2 linked regions of the Struthio camelus genome follow. The protein of the gene in region 1 purifies or fractionates together with the protein of each later gene. This does not show direct contact. Links are inferred from orthologs where the notes say so. Each region holds a gene or a part of one and is shown on either strand. Other genes may lie near its edges.

Region 1 (11,264 bases):
TTAGGCCGCTGGGAAAGTCAAGAAATGAGGACATCACAGTCTAACACTGGCAAAATGCAACTATGTTTTCTTTCATATTTAGTTCAGATGGTTTATAGCCCTTCCTTTTCCTATTCCCTGGGTGAGAACAAGAGTGGAATGAAAAAATTGGTTGTAATTTAATCCAAATAAAGTGGGGATGGATAATGCTGCTAAACAAAAGAGCATGAAAGAAAAACAAAAGCACATCCTTGTTTTGTTAATGAAGTTTGCTCATTCTTCATCCCAAATGAGCTTTTAAGTTTGACTCATTTCCTAAAATTCGAATTAAATTGTAAGGGATGAGCATAAAGGACACCTTCTTCCCCCTCTTGCCTCTCTTTTAGTATCTAAATTACCATTCTACTGCACACCTTGTAAATAAACCATCCCGCATGTACAAGAATGTTAGAAGAACTGTTGCATCACGTTCTGCAGGGAGCTAAGCTATTAACAATCCATTCCAAAGCTCACAAGCAAATACTATCCTATCCTCAATTTAATTTTAAGTTGTTTGGTTCCCCATTCCTTTTTTTTTTTTTTTTTAAATATCTGTACATCGCTTCTTCTTGTGTGATCTTAATTCCAATCAAAACACAAAAACAAACCGCAACTCACTATTATTTCAATGTCTGCTTAAGTTATCTACTCAGAGGTAGAACTGAGAACACTAATCTGTGTTTAAAAAGCCTTCTGTGGGTCCTCAGCATCTGGACGACAGCAGCTTCCAGAGGGCAGCTGAGGCTCCGACATTACTACAGGTTTCACTTTGCAGTGAGAGTTTTGTGATCAAGGCAAATGATTAATGAGGAATTTAATTCTCCCACTGATGCTTAATAGAAGTATATTTAACTTTCAGAATAGAAATGCAGCAAACCCTATCTGGTTATCAAATATTTTTCCAAAGTCAAATTACACCTGCCAGAAACTTAGTTCTGATAATTATTCAGGGATCACTTAGGAATTATACCTGTGTATTTCATCTCATGTGCGACTGGACCAGAACACAAGGAATAGCACTACTGCAGCCCATCGATGAAAATGAGCTGTCAAATGCAATTTACGTTTCATTAGAGGGCTACAGTTAACCTAAAAATTGCATCTCTGTATAAAAGCACCATACTTGCAATAAAACTCACAGCAATACAGTAACTGAAAAAAAGGAAAAAAAAAAAAAGAAAGTATTTTCCTCTTTAAGAGCACAGTAATGCTAGTAACCAAATACAAACAAATCAACACCTTCCACCGTGCTTGAACTGTTATGATAATCAACTGACAAAAGACTTTCAGAGGAGTTCACATGTGCTTTTCTATAATCTGGGCTTTAGATTTTCAAGCCTTTGAAGCAAATACATTGCTACGCTATATTTTCAAAATAGCACAAGAATTCAAGTATGAGAAATGTATGCATTTTATTACTAGTATTTTTACACAACATCAAAATCCAACAATTATTCAATATCACATCCATTTGTGCACGTTTTTGGACACTGAGACATTAACTGCCTGAACACGGTCTAGAAAGCATCTGAAAGCAGGTATACTAAGTGAAAGAAAATAAGATGATTAAATAAACTTATATAAGTTGGGATTTGGTGTGGTAAACACTGGTTATTCCCACTAATTTGAAACTACTAGGGCATTTATCTAGATCGAAGAGAATCAGGGAATGAGTTTGTGCAGAAGCAGCTACAAGTGCTTAAGCACGAGGGTTAGTAGTACTGTAAACTCTCAACGCTTGAAAGTTCCAAAGAAACATGCTCTTTCCACTGATGTAACATTTGAAAATATACTTTCTGGCTGATATCCACTTGTAGGCATTCCCCCCTCCCAAACTGCGAATTCCAATATCTGCACAGAGCAGCCAGGTAAACTTGATCTAGCATACATCTAATCTCTATGCCCTGCTCTTCCTCCTGACCCACTTTTGGTGGTTCATCTATGTTAACAAGAGCTTCCAGTCAAGGCCACTGAATCTGTTAAGGCTTAAGGCTATTCTAGAAGCTAGTTTTGTAGCAGTGTAGTTACATTAATAAGGCATGTGATTCATGTGATGTGTACATGCTCCACCTGATGTGCTTCGAGTCTTTACAGAACAGCACGCTGGAAAGCACCTGGAGTCCACAGGATTGTTTTAAGTGTTTATAACACCTAGTACACATTTTCATTATACCATATTATTTGTGGCTACTAGCATGTAATAAAAGCTGGAAGTTTCACAAGAAGGAAATCAACACGGGGAAAGAAGCGGATTAAATCTGTAGCTGAACCCTCAACTGATACTCAGAGGTCAGAAATAGTTGCACCGTTTCTCTCCACCGCCCAGCCTTATTCAAAAGAAAAAAGAAAAAAAAAAAGTAATAGCACAAGTTATACCAAAAAAGGCACGAGATGAAGTTATTCACAGGAGACTTCATAACTGAGAACCTGAATAGAACTTTTCCCTCACTCACAGTAAGCTCTGTCTCTTAACTTAGGAAGAGTCTTAGCTTTTTCCAAGGTTCCCTGTGAAGAAAAATGCACAAAGTGTATATGGCATGCACTGCTGCTTATTGGCATTTAATGCTTCTTGAACAACTACAATGCAAATATTCATCACAATAGATAGGAACCTTGGCGGAAACAAGAATTCCCACAAATTGTTCAAGACTACAGTAAATGAATAGTATTATAAACAAAAAGCCCCAATCCCTCACAAACAAGTATGCTATATTTACCCATAGATGTGTTGAGGCCAAACTAAGCAGATCTGCCCCTCGCAGGATTTTTTTTTTTTGGCAGTATTAGTACTTTTCTGACAGATTTTTTGCTCAAATAGGACATTACATGACACAGCGTGAAGTTAAACCATTTTAAAGGAGGCTCCATTTTGAAACATTTAACTGGCAGTATATCAATACACCAATAAATAGAGTTTTTAAAAATAAATAAAGTTTTTAAAAGCGATGTTCAGAGTTTGTTTTTTTAGCTAGTATCTTCAAACAAAAGCATCACAACTCAAATGACAGAAAAAGTTATAAGTGACCAAAGCTAAAAGTAAATGGCATGCTGATACCTTCCACAACTATTTCTACTTTGCTTATACAACTACACAACTAAAACACACGCAAACAAAATTTGCTCTATATAACGCATTAAGAAAAGTAAGCTCTACATCCCATGAAAACACTCATTTTTACAAGTCTTACTTCTCTGTTCAATGCAATAATACATTGACATAATCCATAAATGTTTGCATGTGTTTTTACTTATGGGCAAGCTGTTTACATGTGAAGTATGCATTTTTAATCTACTCCCTATGAGCATACTTGGGGAGCAAAGGGGAAAAAAATACCTCTATTGCTTACTGTACCATGTAAAGCATTCCTTAAAAATATTTAAAGTTTTCCTCCGTTCAGAATTAAGGGAGAACACAGTAAGAGGACGTGCTTCTTCTCACAGTACCTTCCAGCTCTTGTGCATAGCTGTCAGAAATGACAATAATAATAGCATAAGAGCACAAGAAATAGTTTTCATTTCTTTAGCTCATGAACACTTGACAGCTCTTCTTGTAAAGTTGGTTTCCCCTGCCAATAGCACAAGATGAAAGACAGGGAAGGCGCATATGCATGTGTACATATATAACACGTATATATACCAGTAAAAGAACACACATGACTAAAACCACATGAGTGCGCAGCGGGTACTTAGAAAGGACTCGTAACTACTTTTAAAACCCAGCTTCTAACATGGGAGCACCTCTCACCGGCCAGCCTGGCGAGGGGGAAAGGAAAGGGGGAGCACCCTGCACCAACTCCCCCCATCCTGCCTCGCAGGAGGCGAGAGGAAGGGCGAAGGGAGAAGGGGGAAGGTGTGAAAGAGAAACGGCCCAAGAGAAGAAATATGCCAAGCATCGCCTCCGGGGGTGGGTGGCGGGGCGGGAGGGAACAGGAATCGTCTCCCGCTTGGCCGACCAGCCCACAGCCGGGGGGGGGGGGGGGGAATCCCCCCTACACACACACACGAAGAGGAAGGGTGGAGGGGACACAACCCAAACGCTCCAAGCATGCATTAGGAAGGGATCTGCTCGCAGGGGAAATCTCTCCTTTTCACACACCCAGCATAAATCCCCTCACTCGGGGGGGGGGGGGCCGGCTGCCCTGCCCCTCTCCCACCCGCCCAGCGGCCGTTAGGGAGGGGGTGGGGGGCAGACAGACACCCCCCCCCCGTGAGGGGGAGCCGCCAGGCCGCGCCACACCGGCTGCCCCCGGCCCTGGGGCGCGGCAGGGGTGTGGCGGGCGTTTCCCCGGCCCCCTCCGCGCCGCTTCCAGCCCTCGCCCCGCCGCCGGGCCCGCCCGCTCCGTGCCGCCTCCCTCACCGGCCTGGGTGGTGTCGCTGAGGTCGTGGTTGGCGGCGCTGGCCCGCGGGTAGTCGCGGAGCTTCCTGCCGCTCAAGCTGAGGGTGCCGCTGGCCGCCGCTTCTTCCAAGGCTCGGTCCAAGGAGCGGCTCCACGAGCCCGGGCCCGACGGGCCCGGCGCAGGGGAACATGTCGCCGGGCTGCCCGCCGGCACCACGGCAGAACCGCCCTCCGGCGCCGCCAGCACCGCGGCCGCCATTTCCCCCGCCGCAGCCCTCCGCCGCTCCGGCTTCGCGCGCTGCTGCGCAGGCGCGGGGAAAGCCCAGGGACTGGCACACAGGGCGCATGCGCGCGGCAAACTGACAGGGCGCGCAGGCGCAGCCCCTCCCGGAGGAAATTGGGGGGGGGGGGAGGCCGGAGGGCACCTGGGGGAAAAGCTGGAACAGGCTCGTTTCGAGGCTGCTTTTCCCTCTCCTCGGAGCACCCAGGGTGCAAGCGTGCCCACCTCCCCTTGGCAATGGCTCAAGTGCCCAGAGCTCACCTGAGGTCCAGCATAAATTAAGATTTAGCCCACCTGGCTGCGATGCCACGTGAGCACTTCCACAAACTTAAGTTTTCTAGCGCCTCCAGAGCACCAAAGTCACCAAACCTAAACAGGTCAGACTCTTTGCAGTGCCTGAACACGTAGTGCTTGTCTTACTGCCCGAAAGTACAGATCGGCTGCTTAAAAACAAACAAAACACCCCCAAACCAGTGCACCTCTGAACGTCGTCTGAAGCTGACAACCACGCAGATTTTAGCCGGTAATAAAAACTAAGGACTTCAAAGAGTCGGGTGCCAGGACAGAAACTCACCATACTCAACATCTTACAGGCAGTATTTTTCCCCCCCACGTACAATTAATAGCAGCACTTCCACTGCTTATAATGCACATAGCTCCTGGCAGCACGTCTTTGCCAGCGTCCTTACTTGAAAACACAACCACAGCAGTTTTATCAGGGTGTTCAAACTGATCCTGTAATAAAATGCTTAGATGACAGTGATTTCCCATTAGCAAAACATGTCACAGCAATCTGAAAATCAGTACATGACCTGACAGATTAAGGTATCTGGTACTATGATCAGACCAAACCACTAAGATAGTGCTACTAAAAACATCAGTTATTTATATATTTTTCAAATGCAAGTGAGCTTATATAGTACCAGTGCAAAAAGTGCTCATTTTTCAGGACACTAAGCCAGAAACGAGTACAAGCCCTCCTTAAATTGGGCTAACTTTTGGTATATTCTCCAGAAATTTAATAATGATTTAATCATTAACAACCCCTTGAAGGATATCAGAACATTTATATAACCAATATATTGCCCAAGTGGTTATAACAGGAACAAGAAAGTATGAAACCTGTAACATTTTATTAAAAAAAAAAAATTAACAGCTTCAGAATAGATCCAATGTAATAACTTCTTCAAAAAATACCAAAAGGTACAGTGTAAAGCATCTTGTCATTAAATACAAACTAGCATTTCTTGATGCATTGCATCAATGTTTTGCATCTTTGTTGATGCAAAAGAATTGTTTTGTTGCATCCTGGCACAGGGAAAACATATACACTGAAACAGGATGACTAACACCACGTTATCTACTCAAATTCTAACAGTGGGGTATTTTTCAAAAAAAATCCCTATTAGTAATTAAGAAAAAAAAAAACTTAACACCATTATTTTTAGTTTTTTTGCTAAGGTATGTTTTTCAACATTAAAAATAAGGTTTTAAGTACTATATAGTGTCAAGGATGCATTCTGACTTTAAAACTGCTATATGACAGAAAGCCCTTCTACTGTCAAACGCTCTTCAACATGTAAGTCCAGGGAAACAGCTAGTCAACTTGGAATTTGATAAAAATGCAAGGAAACCAACTTTGTAAGAAGCCAAATGTAAATTCTTCAAGAGAAATAAGAGGAATTAAAACCACTTCACACACCATAGACATCTGTGGATGCAGCAAGCCAACCATTCTTTTACCTGACTGTAACTAAAACTCATTGCTATAGAACAGTGTTCAGTTCATCACTTCCTGGACTGGAAGCAATTTTATCAGCATGTTAATTCTGAACAGGTGTCTCGTTTCTACTGATGGTATGAATTCCCAATAAGGAGCCCCAGTTGTCACCATCCTTCAGATTCTGATGCATAAAACTAGACATTAAGTAACTGCGTGCACCTATTTCATGCCTTACACATGTTGGCAGACTGAGGGCTTTATTCCAGCAACACTTCCCCAGTTTCAGCCACCTTCAAGATGCGTGACCACTGCTGATCAGCTTCACATCTTACCTCTCTTTGGTATATACAAACAAGTGCCATTAAATTGCTTGCCTCTGGCCATTTCTGAGGGACAGAGAGAACCCTCTGGGGTAAGATGAGAATCCTGTGTCTGGGAAGGTAAGGAACTCTACCATACCACTGACTTTCTTCTGAACTGTTGTATTTATTCCTACAAAATTATTCAAAAAAATGTGAAGTTATTGCATTAAGTTTATGGAAAAGAAAAAACTTACAAAAAGAAATAGAAAGTAAAAGTTTAAGGAAAAAAAAGGAGACAGACATACTCCATTTGCAGATGAACGCCAGCTATTTGTAATATAAACTATGCCCATACTGCCGTACAGTACTCCTCCAGCGTGATCTGGACCACGTCTAAGGATAAGAGTAGGAGTAGAATAGTCTCCATCCCAATTATATATTTTGGATCTCAGCTAACAGCTTTATTTGCGAAAATGAGGATGCAAAATATTTAGTCTCCATGGAAGGAAAAAGAAAAAAAAAAAGAAGAAAAAAAAGAACATCAAAACCACAAAGAATTACAACCAATGCTCCCATGAAAACTGCCGCTACATCACTACCAGAAGTATTTATGGACTGAGGCTCTGTACTAAGCTGCAGTCCAGAGGGAAGTTTATAGACAGTCCCTAACACCCTAAAGAGGGGATTGTAATGGAAACACTGACAGTCTTCACTATAGCAGGGGGTCAAAGAACAGATACTGAGCACTGCTAAACGAAAAACAAAACAAACCACCCCCCCGAAATTTTATCCTCATGTTTGTATTTTGGTTGCAAGATGAACCAAAAAAATCAGTGTTTGTCATCAGCTGGGCAACAAAATCTTTTTCAACCAGATCATGGTGTCACTCCAGCAGATTGGTTTCCCCACTTTTTCACCCCAGGGCATCATGTCTTTTACTGTTCAAAGTAAAAGTAATAAAGATAGTTAGCTCTGCCACTATCTTAGCAAGAAGTCTGGAGAATCTCAGTGACGTATGCTGTATTCTTCTGCCCACTTTTATCTCAGTTTCTTAGATAAGTGGGATCAGTACTCAAGTCCATTTGACAGGTTAGCCCACGGTTACAAAACGGCTTCCTTTGTTCTGGGACAGCGCTGTTCTTTGTTCCTTCAGGATCCCAAAACGCTCGTTCAAAGTCATCCCTGTCTGGAAAATAAATTTATTTCACTATACACATAAAAGATGCTAGGTTAATTTAATCAAAGTAATGGAGACGAGAGTAATTTTTCCGCATTCCGTATCATCACCTGGCTTAAGTGTATATCTAACTAAGATCCAAAAAAGGCCCTGATTTAATTTGGTTTCATTCTTTCCCACACCATTTAGAAATCAGAATGGAGTACATATCAACAGCTAGCACTTATTGGAATTCATTAAGAACATATGGTGGTACCAAGTCAAGACTGACAGTGAACTCAGAAAACCCTAAGACAGTTAAACTGAGAACAGATTGAAAAAGGGAACTTTCACTAGACTCATTTCCAAGCATGGATTCTACGTAGCTTCAACAAAAACAAGTTTCTAACCACTTTCCAGTCCATCCAGTTGAGGCAGCAGACTAGCGTCTAGTCTGACACTTCAATTAATTTTTTTTTTTTTTTTTAAACAATATCATAGCAGGCTACTTGCCACACACTATTTGTTTGCGGAAGGAACAAATCCTGACTGACTTTCTGACCCCATGTTTTCTGCAGAAGACAGTAAAAAGCTGATTATAAGAACAGCCTGGTCTTGGGGTCAGTGCCTAACTCTGTCACCCTGCCAGAATTTTGTCAGTAAGAGCACTCAGAAGATCCTCTCTCCTGCACCCACTCACCCGTCTTCACGAAACTCTTGAAAACGTATCTCTCTCTTAAACCTTTATACCATTACATTTGATTTTTTTTCCCCTAGTTGCATAGTCAAAGTTGCTCTGTTGCAAAGAGTAATGACATTCAGATGCCAGTGTTCCATACAAGTTACGTGAGTAAGAGCAGCTCAGCCCTGAATTACACACACTAGCTGATTCAAGCAGCAAGAACATCGGAAGATTTTTACAGATATTCAGCATTTTAAATCCCACTCAAAGCATGCGGGCATGCAAGACACAAACCAGAGGAGCAGGAACACTAAGTGCAGATATTTGGTTGAAGTTACATAGCATGTTAGCAGAAGAACTGGAAGTGGAAACAAGCAGTAGTTACTAGTTCCCTCTTTCTGTCACTAGCGAGTATAGGATTAAAGTGCCTGGCTCACCATCTTTATCTATCTTGGAACTACTCCATAGTTGAGGAAGGAAACTGCTTTTACCTGTTTTCCAACACTATTAATATCGAACTGCAACGGAACCCCTTTGGGAATCTTCTTCTCTTCAGACTGGTCCCTCTTCATCAGAAATGGGGGCACGGGAGTACGAGTTAATCGTAATTTCTGGGACCTATGAAAGAACAACATTAAAACGGACATAGTGAATACATGCTTTTAAGCAATAAAGCCTTACTGCTGATAGAACAACACTTCTGACTGTTAGTCTGTGTTGTAAATGCACAAAAAAAAAAAAGTAGACAGAGGCTTCCTTACAGAGTAAGTACTACTAATTAAAAAAAAAATTGTCTAAAATATAACTCCATCATCAAACTCAACTCTTCCTTTAACTTCAAAAATAAATACAGCAATACTTTCTTTAAGGACATTTCTAACAATATCTTTATGAATCAGGAAGGAACTATTATCATCACTCAACAACTAGATGCTCATTCATTTTCATTCAGGTAGAGGAGGGAAACAGCCACAACATGGCCTGATTTTGAGCACGCAGATAAGGTGAAAATCTACCAGCCCTACACAACTCAACTTTATGCCACATCAAGCTCCTCGCTGGGAGGTCTCTTGTGAAAATCAATTGTGATGTTATGCAAACACAGCTCAGAAACACTCAGAAAGCGGCTAGTTTTAAAAGCTTTCACAAGAACTCACCTTGAAGTCACCTGAAATAACATCTGCAAATAAATTGCTAAATGGCTCAGGAACAGCCATTTCAGTTACGCTAAGAACATTCCAGAGCTGCTTTTATTACTCACATTGGATTTATGATTGCTCCTGGGTTGTCAATAGATACAGTCAGAATCCCTCCACTCGTGGTAGAAGTTCGCCATCTAGTTTGAAAACACAGAAATCACTTATCCCAATCAAAATTTCAGCAACACGTTTACATCTTTAAAAGTGCGTCCCAAATACTGGCTAATAAAGAACGTATAAGCTTTCAGAATATGGGCCAGTACAAAGACAGCATGCAGACAAGCAATCTGCACGTTATACGGTATGAGAAGCGGGGTACTGACTTCAGTATCCTCTACATTACCTGAAGAGGCATAGACAAACTGTAGATCACATGCTGGCAAGACATACCAATACTGCAGCAGTGATCAAAATGTTCCTATTTTTTAAAACATTCCCTTTCGCTTGCCACAGATGCAGCTAGATTGGCCTTCACAGCAAATCAAAGGTGACAGACTACAGTTCTGTGGCACATGCTGCTTACTCAGCCTGTTGTGTTACCAGCAGCCAAGTTGCAAAGAGCCTAGCAAACAGAGAAGGATATGAGAGGCGCATTGGGAGAGTATTGCGTGGCCTGCCTCACGTATTTTCCAACTGCTTCACAGGCTCTGTGTATATTAGATAGCATGGAAAAATATATGAAGAGCTCAGGAGAGTGCAGGCATTGGAATTTTTCTCCTAGTCTATGCAGTATTCTTAAGTGGTAGTGACTAGTCTACCTAGCTAGCACCTTCTGCCTCATTCTTGTGAGCATCTTACGCAAACAAACTCATCTTGGTTAACTGAAGAGATACTGCAGGAAACAACTGGAAAAAAATAGGGAGAGGACCACTGCCATTCAGTTTAGAGGCCTACAGGCAAAAAAAATATCCAATTACCATAGCCAGGAGCAGAAGCTAGATCCAAAACAAGAGCAGTAGTACAAACAAGTAACTAAACTGAATTTTGTCAAATGAAATACTTACTGACGAGTTCTCTTTACTGTCTGATTATCTAGATCTTCTGCTGGCTGCACTTGGGCCTGCACCTGAAAGCAGATCAAGAGAGACACCAGATTTGAATACTGTTTCCACTCTCATTGTAGCAGTTGGGAAAAAAAAGCAGTTCAAAAACAGAAGTTTAGAGATGTTTGTGCATTTTGTACAAACTGGGCTGTACTTTCAGAGGGACTTCAAAGATAACTATCCTATTACCTTCGTAAGACAATGGAAGGAAATAACTTTAAGAACAAAATGATTTAGAAGTGATCATCAATGACAGTAACTTAAGCAACAAAGAGATGAAGGAGAGGGTCCAGCTGCAGTCATAGGAAAGAAAACAGGAAATCAAGGACAGGAAAGAAAAATCACACATATATCCCTACATATAGGGAACATCAGAGAAGAAATACCGGGAGATGGTCAAAACAGGAAACACTTAAGGACTGCCTTAGAAAACAACACTTTACCAAGATCCACTAAAACGTTACCAGGCCAGTAAGAACAACACGGGCAGCTCCTTGCTGGAGCCGCTCCTTGGACCGAGCCTTG
Region 2 (11,121 bases), on another chromosome or scaffold:
AGAAGTATGACTGTCATTTATTCAAATCCTCTACTTAAACCCGATTTGTAAATCATTTTTTTAATGGAAAGAACAACTAGACCAAAGCTTTAGTATTAAGTTAATCTTTTTCCCATGCATTATTCAGCTATCACATTCCTACTATGACAGGATTCCGTCTCTACCAGGAGACCACACAAGGCCGGAAAACATTTACCACGTGAAGTCTAAAACCTACCTGAGAAGTCTACTGAAAAATAGATGCCCAGATAGTCCTGTGCTAAAATCAAATGGAAATCTATGGCCTGCAGAGTACCTAATTTATTGATAGTTTTGCAGATACAAAGCAAACAAAGACAAAGAAAACTACAAAGTATACCTTACTGTAATAACTGCCAATTAAGTTATAGGCAACAAATTTCTATTACTACTGTATTAATTGCAGATCTAAGACATCTTCTGTAAAGAATGTGTCGTAATACACTTGTAAAGGGATTATCAGTTTAAAGTTATTACCAGCATAATTCTGTAGAAGAATATAAGCATAAGCTCGTTGACAATAATATTCAGCATCATCTGGGTTCTTTTCCAAGGCTGCTGTCAGTTCCTGTAAAGAGAGACAAAAAAAAATATAAAATAGCAACTCAGAAGTCCCTGTAAAAGTACAATATCAACCTCTGTCAACTCAAAGACATTTCAGAACAAAATATCCTGAACTGGCTGGAACATTTGTCTATTGCCCAGTTTTGATCCACAAAGCTTATACATCAAAGGCTCACAAAGTACGAGGAATCTGCCAATTATACCAGATTCAAGGAACCTATTCCTTACCGACAAGGAAGCAAGTTTTTCAAATGCCATAACCATGAAGTCTAGTGCACAGCTGATCCTCTATATCCTAAAGAGCTGCCTACAGTTTTCAGCACTTCTGTACACAGGTCTGCTGGGTATGAGGAAGCAATGCAGTGCAGATTCGGAAATCAGCACAAAGTATGTCAGAACACTTGTGCAGGGATAACATACTCCAAGAGCCGTAACACATGATGAACGTGTTGTACAATATTGGTGAGCATGGGAGATTGTTTTGAAGCACACTGAGGAAGAAAACTAGCAGAAAAATACCTTTGCACCATTGGGCTTGCAGGCAACATTGCTGAATAACGGAAACGAGCATCAAGTATTTCTTTGTTAATGGAATGACGTTTACAGATTGAAATAATTATAACATACACTGCAAGAGAAAAGTTTCTTACATTCTGCACAGCAGAATGAAATTACAATGGCTCAGCACACACCTTTGGAAAGAGTGTTCAGCTCCAGTTCTCCCTTTACCGAGGAGGGTTGCTAGAAGGCAGTAAATCTTCCAAAGCCACTAACTGTACAACACTACAATACAGTAACTCAACTTTCCAAGTTACCTGGATTTCTATTCAGAATTCAGCCAGCATGAAGGAGGCCAAGATATAGGCTTTACGCATGCATAAATGTCAATTCAGCACAGCTGCAAAACACAGCTCCACCAAGCTACAGAAGGGAGGAAGAGTAGAAGAGCCTAACTTAGTTTTAATTCAGATCAGCGTCTGTTCTAGTTCATTACTGTCACACAAATGCTTACACCAACAAGGAATTAAGTGACCAAAGCAGCTTCTTTTGTCAGCAGTGTTGAGTTCACATCAGCATAAGATAATCAAATCTCTATATAGGTACAACATATAGATCTAAAACCTTGGGGGGGGGGGGAGGGTGTCTCTGAACAAGCGGCAGGCAGTAGAGTTGTAACAAAAAGCAATTCATGATCTACTTATACAAATGGCCTCTTAATAATTGAAGCCATTCAAGAGCAGTCATCACTATATGACGAGAAAGATGTATGATGATAGGGATTCCAGATAGGAAGGATATGAGGTAACTGATGTATTAGAACGGGGCCACGCTACGCAAATAGATGTAAGTACAGCTTGTAACCCTCAGAAACGAGTGAGGTCTGACACAAGTGAGTTTGTATGAATTAAAAGTGGTTTAATCTGCTGAATCACTTGTGCCTGAATTCAGTCGGGTTACCATCTTTGTTTCTCATATGGCAAAACACTCCACCAAAACAGAGACAACGCGTGCTTTCGTCCAGGAGTTACAATTTTAACATACAGTTCTGATTCTGCCTTAAGTCATTACTGCTTACCTTGCAGAGCATTTTATAAATGAAAAAGCAATAGAAGACATTCTTATTCCATAGGGTAGACTACTTTTTCTACTTAGTATGACAAAAAAGCCAGTAAGAAGTTCACCGCTTTATCATCCAGATTTTTAATGCAGCATTTAGACACGGATGATGACCTTTTAGTTGCATCAGATCCAGGCTAGTGCCTCTGCGGACACAGCTATAGCCAGCAGGTGCAGAATACTGAAGTATGCTCTTTAGGAGTTAAAGGAACCAAAAGGGCAGAAATGCCATGCTGACTGGATATAAGTCCTGCCAGGTGTGGAAGCATTACACAGCACCATTGGGTGCTGTGCCCCAGATTATAAACACTTAAGTACATGAGCTAAAGACTACACCCAAGATCATGCAAACATGGTATACTGCTTCTAGATCCAAGCTCCTAAGTCATCGTGATGTTGCACAGCATTATGGGACTTACCAGTTCAGAGATTATCAAGCACAGACTGCCTGCAAACATGAGTATTTACCAAAGAAAAAAAGTGACAGCTGGTATCACTGCAACATACTGTCTACCTAATGTGCTATAAACTATTTTAAAATTAGCAAAAAAACTTCTTACAGAAAGTCATTGAACATACAAGGAACTGAAATACAAACAAGACAAGTTAAGAAACTATGCTAACACAGAAAGACTAACGAATACTACTGAAATATGCCTTTAACACTTCCAAAGATGTTTTGTTTACAATTGGAAACTCAATTTTTTTACATCTTAAATTTAACTGTGTTAAATATATTTAGTTTTGTCCAACCCCATTTTAGATGTCAGTTACCTTCTGAAAAGTTTTTGCAAGCTACAGCCTAAACCCCAAATAACCGTAAGATTCAGCTGCACCACTTCATTATGGAAAGATAATTAAGTTTCCTGTTAAGCTCCAGCCACTTATTCCATTCAAGCAGAACTAAATAGTGATATCCTCTCCCCTTCTAGAGCATGTTAAACAAAAATCTATCCATCCTTCATTTCTGTCTTCCTATTAACCTTTCCTTTCAAATAAAAAGAACGCTTGAGAACACACTGACCGAACTTAATGGGTAGAATACACAAAAAGGAAAAAAAAAAGGGTGATAGTAGGATAAAAACTAATAAAGATTAAGTAAATTTCGCCAATAACTAAATCAATTATGATTCTGCACCTAAAAACAAAAACTTATTTGTATTACAGTCTACCTATATTGAACAAAAAGTTCATTTTTACTGTTTTTTCACAAGACAGGTAGTACAAGCATTTTGACAGAAACATGCTGAACACGTCCTTCGTCAGACGTCACATGAAGGAGTACAGCCCTCTGGGGAAAACACTGTAAACTACCAGCTGGCAAAAAGGACAACGGTAAGAAACTTTAGCTTTCCCCTCGCTTCTAACAGCGACACGACATGCCGCTGCAAGAAAGTCACCTCACCCACAGGACTTAAGCTTCCCCATTCATAAAACATCCTCCTCCCTCGCAGACAAAGCGCGAAGGTGCTCCCAGACTGACAGCGGAGCCAGACAGCCAACTTACACCAGCCCTGCAGGACCCTTACGCACGGCAAAACCCAGCGTGCCCAACTCGGGGCCCGGCGCCTCCTCCTCCGCCACGGCGAGGGAGGCAAAGGCGGCCAACCTCTGCCCACAGCCTCGCGGGCGGCCCGCTGCCGAGGCCGCGCAGCCCCGGGACGCGGCCCCCGCCGCTCACCTGCGCCGCTGCCCCCGGGTCCCGGTCGATGTCCCCGTCCGAGAACCTGCCGAGGAAACGTAAAGGGGTGAGAAGGCAGGAGGAGGTAGGCGGGCGGGGCGGCACGCGGAGGGAAGGGGAGCTCACCGCGGAGCAGCCGCTCCCCCCGCCGCCGCCGCCGCCATGCCGCCCGCCGCCCCCGAGAAACTTCTGGAGTCGCCGAGGCACCCGCACAACAACCGCCAAGGCCGCAGCCGCGCGCGCGCAAAGGCTGACGGGATGCATAGGGGCCTGCCCAACCCGTAGGGGCCTCCCGCGCGCCTCGTCACGAGGCGGGGCGGCCATTGCTACCGAGGCAAACGCGAAGGCCTCCCTCCCATAGAGTTGGAGGACCAGCCGTGACAGAGGTGCTCTTAAGCCCTTCCCTCCCGCCCCTTCCTCCCCCCCACCCCGCGGCGGCAGGAGCCGGCGGCCGGCGGTGTGCGCATGCGTGCGGGCGGGTTGGGGCGGGGAGGCGGAGGGAGGTGGCGGCGTCGCGGCGGTTGGCTGCTCTTTCGCTGCTCAGGTTCGCCCCAGGCTCAAGGGCGGCGGTTCCCAAACGGGGGTCCGCGCAAATACGAGAAAGGGCAGAGAGCTGGCAAAGTTCGTTTTGCTTAGGCTGCCGTTTGGGGTGTGAACCTGAGAGGAAGGGGTGTGAAGACCGCAAAGTTAATGAACCGGGGGTTCAGGAGGGAAAGGCCGGCGTCGCCTGAGGTCCAGGCAGCTCCTGTTAGCCCCAGCCTGACGGGTAGATCTTGAGGCAACCAAGCACCAGCGGCAGTGGTTCCGGCCGGGCAGGGGGCTCCCTCAGCTTGGGAGCTCTGTCCCCCGCAGTGGCAGAAGCAGTGGCCCCACGTCTCTGGCCTAACGCCTGGAAGCGGGAGTCGGGGCCTTTCCTGGGGCAGCAGCGGTGCCCTGGGGCTGCTCCTCGCCCTTGGGATCCCTTCCTGGGGGCAGCACGTCTCTCTTCCCCCCCCCTCCTTCAAGCTGGCATGCGTGCAGAAGAGAGCTGCAGCCTCTTGTTTTTTTTTTCTTTCTGAGTCAGCGGTGGCTCAAATGTGACATTGCGCCTTCTGTTTGGTCAATACCGCAGACACAAAGACGGCTGTGAAAAGGCGTTAAGGGCAGGGGGGAGGAATTGCTCAACCCCCAACTGTAAGCCCTCGTTTTGTGACCTGCTCTGGCTTTTCCATTCCATTGCCGCTTTGGAGGCCCATAGTATTGAGAGCTGAAAGTACGATGGGTAGAGGGGGTAGTACATCGGAGCCTAAGAGACGTGGGGAGAGGGAAGAAAATGATTTTCATTTAGGGTTTGTTACACAACACAGTCTTCTGTTAGAAGACATGCCGTTGTTGTTTGCTGGAGGTTTTCTGCCAGCCTAACTATACCACTTCTCCAAAAGACATAAACTAAGCTGACAAAATCGTTTTCCTGTTGACGTAGTTAAATCTATGGCAAGAGGTTTTCTTTGCAAAATTGTAATCTCATACTGCGATTTTTCACATTTTTAGCAAATACGCTGAGCAAAACACCCCCTCCCCCCCCAAGCACTATGTCAGTCAAGCCTTAACGTTTCCTCAGTTTTCCTCAGGCTCCCTAGTATTATGAAATATTTGTATTACAGGATAAGGTCCCTGTTTTGTAATTAATTTCAAAAGTATCGTCCCCAATGTTTTTTGTCAATTTGAAATGTAAAGCCCTCAGGATGAGAACTGTACCATATTTTTACAATGTTATCCACATTTCTAGTAATATTGCCAACATTGTATTTCTGTATTTTTTTCATTAAGATAAAAAATAACAAAAATATTAGGACTGCACTTCTACAACACAAGAGCTCTTCAACCAGAGGGTGCAATTCTAATACTTAAGTTCCCTAGTTGCAAGGAATGCTGCCGGACAAAACAATCACCACTTACTTGGCATCAGTCACTTCGGTTTGTGTACTGCCAGTCTCTGAAAAGGGGATGAGATTCATGGATTTGTAGGTCAAAACCTAACAGCAGGAGAATAAAAGAAAAAAAAAAGCCACACATCCACCTAAACAAGGCACTTTTAACCACCAAGAAACAGGGTAGCCGTGGCAGAGAACTGCTTGTTAGGTACAGTTTTTAGAGTTACTTCTATACAGCTAGACCAAAGTGGTATTTCCTTTAACTTTGCATGCAGCTAATCTTACTAGGCATCACGTTCATTTATAATCCACGTTCTCCTTAAACATTTTGCAACATGCTAGGTTTTGGCCATGCAGTAGTTTGAGCCTGCAGTACTGTTGTATAAGCTACAAGGACCTTTGTGATAAATGGCACCCCAGAATTATGCTGAAATTTTATAACTTACTGGGAAGGGACAGAAAAGACGACGTTGAAGTCTAAACACTGGCTATAGCTCAACTTTCATTTCAGCTATGAAAACGTACAGTACTGCTCCCTGAAAGGCCACAGTGCCATCGCATGCTCAAACACACAGCATGTTGGTGCATTCCAGGCTGAGTTCAGAAGTGATTCACAAATTGCTCACTTGCTCATGTTCCACCACAGGCCCACACTGATTAATTATGCTGTCCTGTTTCTCAGCGTATTTTGGAGACTTCTAATGATCATCAAAACACTGTATTAATATAAAAACATTTCAGAGTAAATACAGAAAAGTTTTTCTCCATTTGATTTATTTTCATAATAAACCAATTAAAAATACAAAAGGCAAGGACCCAAGGTTCAAAGGGCTCCATCATTTAAAAATTTGTCTTTTAAATACAAATTCACTCTGTAATATGAATACATATAACATTAGACCTCTAAACATAATGATCTTATTTGCATCTATCAAAAATTTGTATGGAAACAAATTAGCTGAAAAACTTCCTTGTGACATTGAATGTACATTATTTACAATCAAAAAAGAACTCTTAGCAGTACTAATCTAAGAACACCTGCATAAATTGTATATATTTCATTTCCCTCCCCCCCCCTTACAAAATGATCTGAAGTAGAAAGCAAAATTGTTAAAATTCATAGTCACAAAATGGCATGAAACATTTGCACCTGTAGTGATGCCATTAGTTTCTGTAATTAAATATATCTGATGTTTCCATATAAAATACAGACCTAGCATTGTCCATTACTGGAATAAATGTTTTCTGTACTCTCAATAGGAGTGTATATTTAATTTTGCACACACAAGAGCATGTGTTGCAGAAAATGCAACAAGAGGATACCTGGTTATCACTGTCCGTTATTCAAAGTCTAAATCTGATGTAATTCACTGGTATGAAACAGATACACTTGATCATAAAAAATTCATACACATGGAATGAAAATGTCCCATCAAAAGTAAAAGTAAGTGTTGCTTCAAAAGTTAAGTGATACATGCACGGATTAAACAGAGAAGGTTATAATAATGTTACTGCAATGTAAATTAGCAACAGACTGAAAACATACAAATATGTAAGAAGTTCGGAACTTTGGCCAAAAACCTCAAGAGAAAGTCTTCATAGCATAAAAAAGCATGTTCCTTCACGCCTGTATTTTGAAACATGAGGGATATGTAATTTTATTTATATGATAACATTTAGCAATTAACAGAAAATCAAAATCCATTCTAAAGCATGAATTCTACCAATTAACTGCGGAAATTAAGTAGCTTTGTAACATCTGCTTCAGAATCAAATCATATATACATAACTGAAAAGGTCCCATCACATTTATGAAAATAATCATCCACAGGGTCTTTTTTTTTTTTTTTTAATTTATTTATATGAACTGGGTTCCAATGGCTCATTTTCTTGCTTCACTTGCATGTTAGATGGGAAACCATTTGAACTGGATACTACCATCACAAAAGGCTGCTGCTGAATTCTCTGCTCTGACTGCTCAGTATCATCTACTTCATCATTGTCTTCTTCTTTTATCGCTGTTTGTATGCCAATCTGCTTAGTTTCTGGTGCTTTAATAACTGAAGTGATCACTGTGCCTGACGGATGAGCTACCATCTGTGAACTGCTAGGTGAAAAAGTTACCACCGGGGTAGTGGCACTGAAGGATGGAGACGAAGCCATGTTGACTGTTCCGTTGCAAATTGTCTGCACACTGCTGGTGAGAACCTGTTGAACTTGGGCTGGGCTCAGCACAATTGATGAAGGAGGAGAGACTGGCTTCTGAGACTGCAGCATGACGTTTTCTTTAAGAACTGTCATGGGTTGCGAAGTAGGAATGGCTTGTAAAATAAATTTTTGGGGCGTTGTCGCCGAGGCTGGATCTGTGCTGGTTATCACTGTAGTAAGAGGCACTGTCTGGAGTGTTACAGTATGCAGCTGCTGATTTCCAGGAGAAACAACCACTGGAACTTGGGTTGGAGTCTGTAAAGTCCTATTCAGATTAGAAAAGAGTGCAGGGTCAGAATACTTTCACTTTGAGTTTTTAAAAACAATTATACTCTTACTATTGGAAAAAATCACTTGGCATCACAAACCTTCGATTATTTTTCTAAGGATTTCAAACAGGGAAGCACTCTCCTAAAAAAACAACCCCCTCCCCCGTCCCCCCAGGTCAGTAACCCATTTCCCAAAGCGACTGTCTGTCTTTGAGACATTCAGTATTTCATGAGGAAACCGGGGAATCATCCAACATCTCCACCTCAGGCATCAACAAACCCTACACGAGTATCATCAATTTCACAAGGTACTCGGCTGAATAAGTCATAAATCAGGCTTCAGTTCTCCTGCCATCCATGTATGTCTGTAACTATACACACAGGCATCTGCATTGTAACAGCAAGTGTCTTCGGGACCCTCTCAGGCTCACAGGACACAGCTCTCCCTCTGTATGCCAGGTTTACACACTCCTAAGGGTAAAGCAACTGACCAGAATCTGCCCCCAGGAAAAGTTTAAATTAGGAATGATTCCATCAATTTTAGGCTGACAGACCTGGATACTGTATTACTTTCTAAATATGTACAGCTGAGAGGGCAAAGTCAGAAGATTAACAGCCACATCACTGAAGTATACAAGTCTTACAATGGAAATTGGTGATTTAGAAATGTGTTGAAGCACATGCACTGCAACATACCCATGTTTTAAAAAAAAAAAAAAAAAAAAAAAAAAAAGGCAAAGAAACCTCGCACTCCTGGTGAAGCGAATGATTTCCAGCGAAGGGAAGGAGGGAGGGAAGGAAAACTACTTCTACACTGTTCCCACAGTATTTATATTACTATTTCTCATTCCTTTTGCACCTTTATTTTTGGCACCTTATAAATCATGATAATTTTGCAATACGATGTTTATTTTTGAACTTACCATTTCTGAGAATGGTTTACTCCACATTTACTTTTTACAGTCCTGGGTCTCCCTCACTTTTTCCCCCTCTCTAAACCAGCATTGTCAAAAATTTGTTTCCACTCTGCCATTTGGCTGCTTGCTCCAGCCCATCATGCCACACTGTCCCTGGCAATTTTTTTCTCTTTCTCTCGGTCCTGCAAAGTTCTCTCTGACGTTCCTGCTTTGCTTCCATGTTTTCTTCTGACAATCTTCCTCTGCTTTTTCAGTCTGAACCTCTCACTCATGCCTTCTTTAATATACTTGACACTAAGTGAAAACAAGCATAATTATCTTCTAGCTTACTTCTGTCTCTGTTGAAATCATTTTAGATTAAAAGTCACTTACCTTCAATATTTCTACTTTCAAGTCCATGCACGATACAGCCTGTTCTCTCTTCTAAAAAGTTTAATTCTCAGCTACTTTGTAAGAGTTGCCTAGTATATATCTATCATGGAATGTCCTCTTTTCTATAGTCCTTCTGCCCATCTAGTACCAATCTTCTACAGCTCTGTGAAATCTCACTTGCCAGAGTTTTGCTACTGGCCAGTAAGATCAGACTCAACGTAATCAAAACTGCAGTTCAAAAAAACCACATTCTTGCTGTCATGACTGCAACAAAAAGCTTACCAGAGCGGGTAGGACTTAACTGATGCTCAAGCTAGGGGCAATGTGGAGGAAGATGCTCCAACAGCATGGGGAGCTCTACTCCCTCTTCTCCAATGCAGCAGCAGAGGCAAGTGAAGTAACACTTGCAGAAGACCTCCAGGTCTCACCTCAGTCCTCTGGGAAAGGCCTTTCTCTGAGCTGCAAAGACTCCCCCAGCAAGCACAACTCTAGTAACCCAGCTGGTATCAAGCTCAGAGCACATCAGCTCCCCCTTCCCCTTCATTCATCATTCATTCATCAGCTCCCCCTTCAGTCTCCCAGAGCCAGTTGCTGCTACAGGCAACTCTTCCCACCTCCTATGTGGGCTTACTAATACAAGGGATTCTTTTTCTTATCTGTAGCTTTTTCCTCATAAGAAAGAAGATAAAGTCAGCATTATGTAGGACTGTCTATAAAGCAAAACAAATCCAAATACTAGCCCATGAGGCTCTCTTGCAAGTCACATCAGAAAGACCGTATAGCTGGGATGCAAAAGCTGACGTGTCTAGTGTCAGTATGTCTGGCACTGCAGTACAGAGGGGCAGCTGATGGGCACAATCTTGAGCTCCTGGGTCACAAGAAGGGGGAGAGAGGCCAAAAAAAATTCTCATAGAAACGGGCTGGCTGGGAAGCACCAGCTGCAGAGTGACCACTTCTTTCTCTCTAACTTCCGGATTTCATGCACCAGGCTGATATAGGTGCTGCACAGGAAGTACAAGCAACGGAGCTTAGAACGCAAGGCTCAAAGTGACAGCACCGGGGTCACCAGGTCTGCTAAGGGTTATCAGACCTATATATTTCTTTTTAAATAATTCTCCTTGGTATTTGATAGAAAAAACAAACACAAATGTCCATGTGTAAACGGAGAAGGATGACCACTAGCTTTTTTAAGCAACGGGAACTACCTACAGGTAAGTCAAATTGCAGTAAAATCAAAACAGCACATAGATACAGTTCAAACAATCCATGAAGGTCCACAGGGACCAGCTAAGGAAGAAAGACAGCTGATGCTTGCCCTCAGAAAAGCCTTAAAAGTATCCAAGTAAGAGAGCGGGTACTGAGGCAACTCCTTAATCTATGAGGCAACCTACTTGTGCCTGAAGGATCAACACCAACTGAATAGTTGCAACTTTGAATAGTGGGGGCTGAAGCCGCCAGCCTGTGCTGGTTCACCGTGCAAGTATTACTTCAAAGCTACTCTCTTGCTCTTTAGCCGTTTTGTTTAAAAATAAAATAAAAGCCTCTAGCAGTTGTGGCTGCAA

What was found.
Region 2: the proteins of LRCH3 (region 1) and SUGT1 purify together in Homo sapiens (co-immunoprecipitation; 3 studies listed by BioGRID and IntAct, counting the BioPlex papers as one, with this or other methods). This does not show direct contact. The link is inferred for Struthio camelus from reciprocal best matches to the Homo sapiens genes LRCH3 and SUGT1.

The regions. Positions count from the first base shown.
Region 1 is NC_090950.1:21,386,206-21,397,469, reverse strand, and holds the start of LRCH3 (DISP complex protein LRCH3), read right to left. Parts: upstream 4,672-11,264; 5' UTR 4,614-4,671; coding exon 4,376-4,613; intron 1-4,375. Other genes in the region: FYTTD1 (UAP56-interacting factor), read right to left, coding at 7,750-7,845, 8,989-9,115, 9,759-9,833, 10,701-10,762. UniProt on the Homo sapiens protein: As part of the DISP complex, may regulate the association of septins with actin and thereby regulate the actin cytoskeleton.
Region 2 is NC_090942.1:188,788,296-188,799,416, forward strand, and holds the start of SUGT1 (protein SGT1 homolog), read right to left. Parts: upstream 4,160-11,121; 5' UTR 4,145-4,159; coding exon 3,881-4,144; intron 587-3,880; coding exon 496-586; intron 1-495. Other genes in the region: ELF1 (ETS-related transcription factor Elf-1), read right to left, coding at 7,648-8,266. UniProt on the Homo sapiens protein: May play a role in ubiquitination and subsequent proteasomal degradation of target proteins.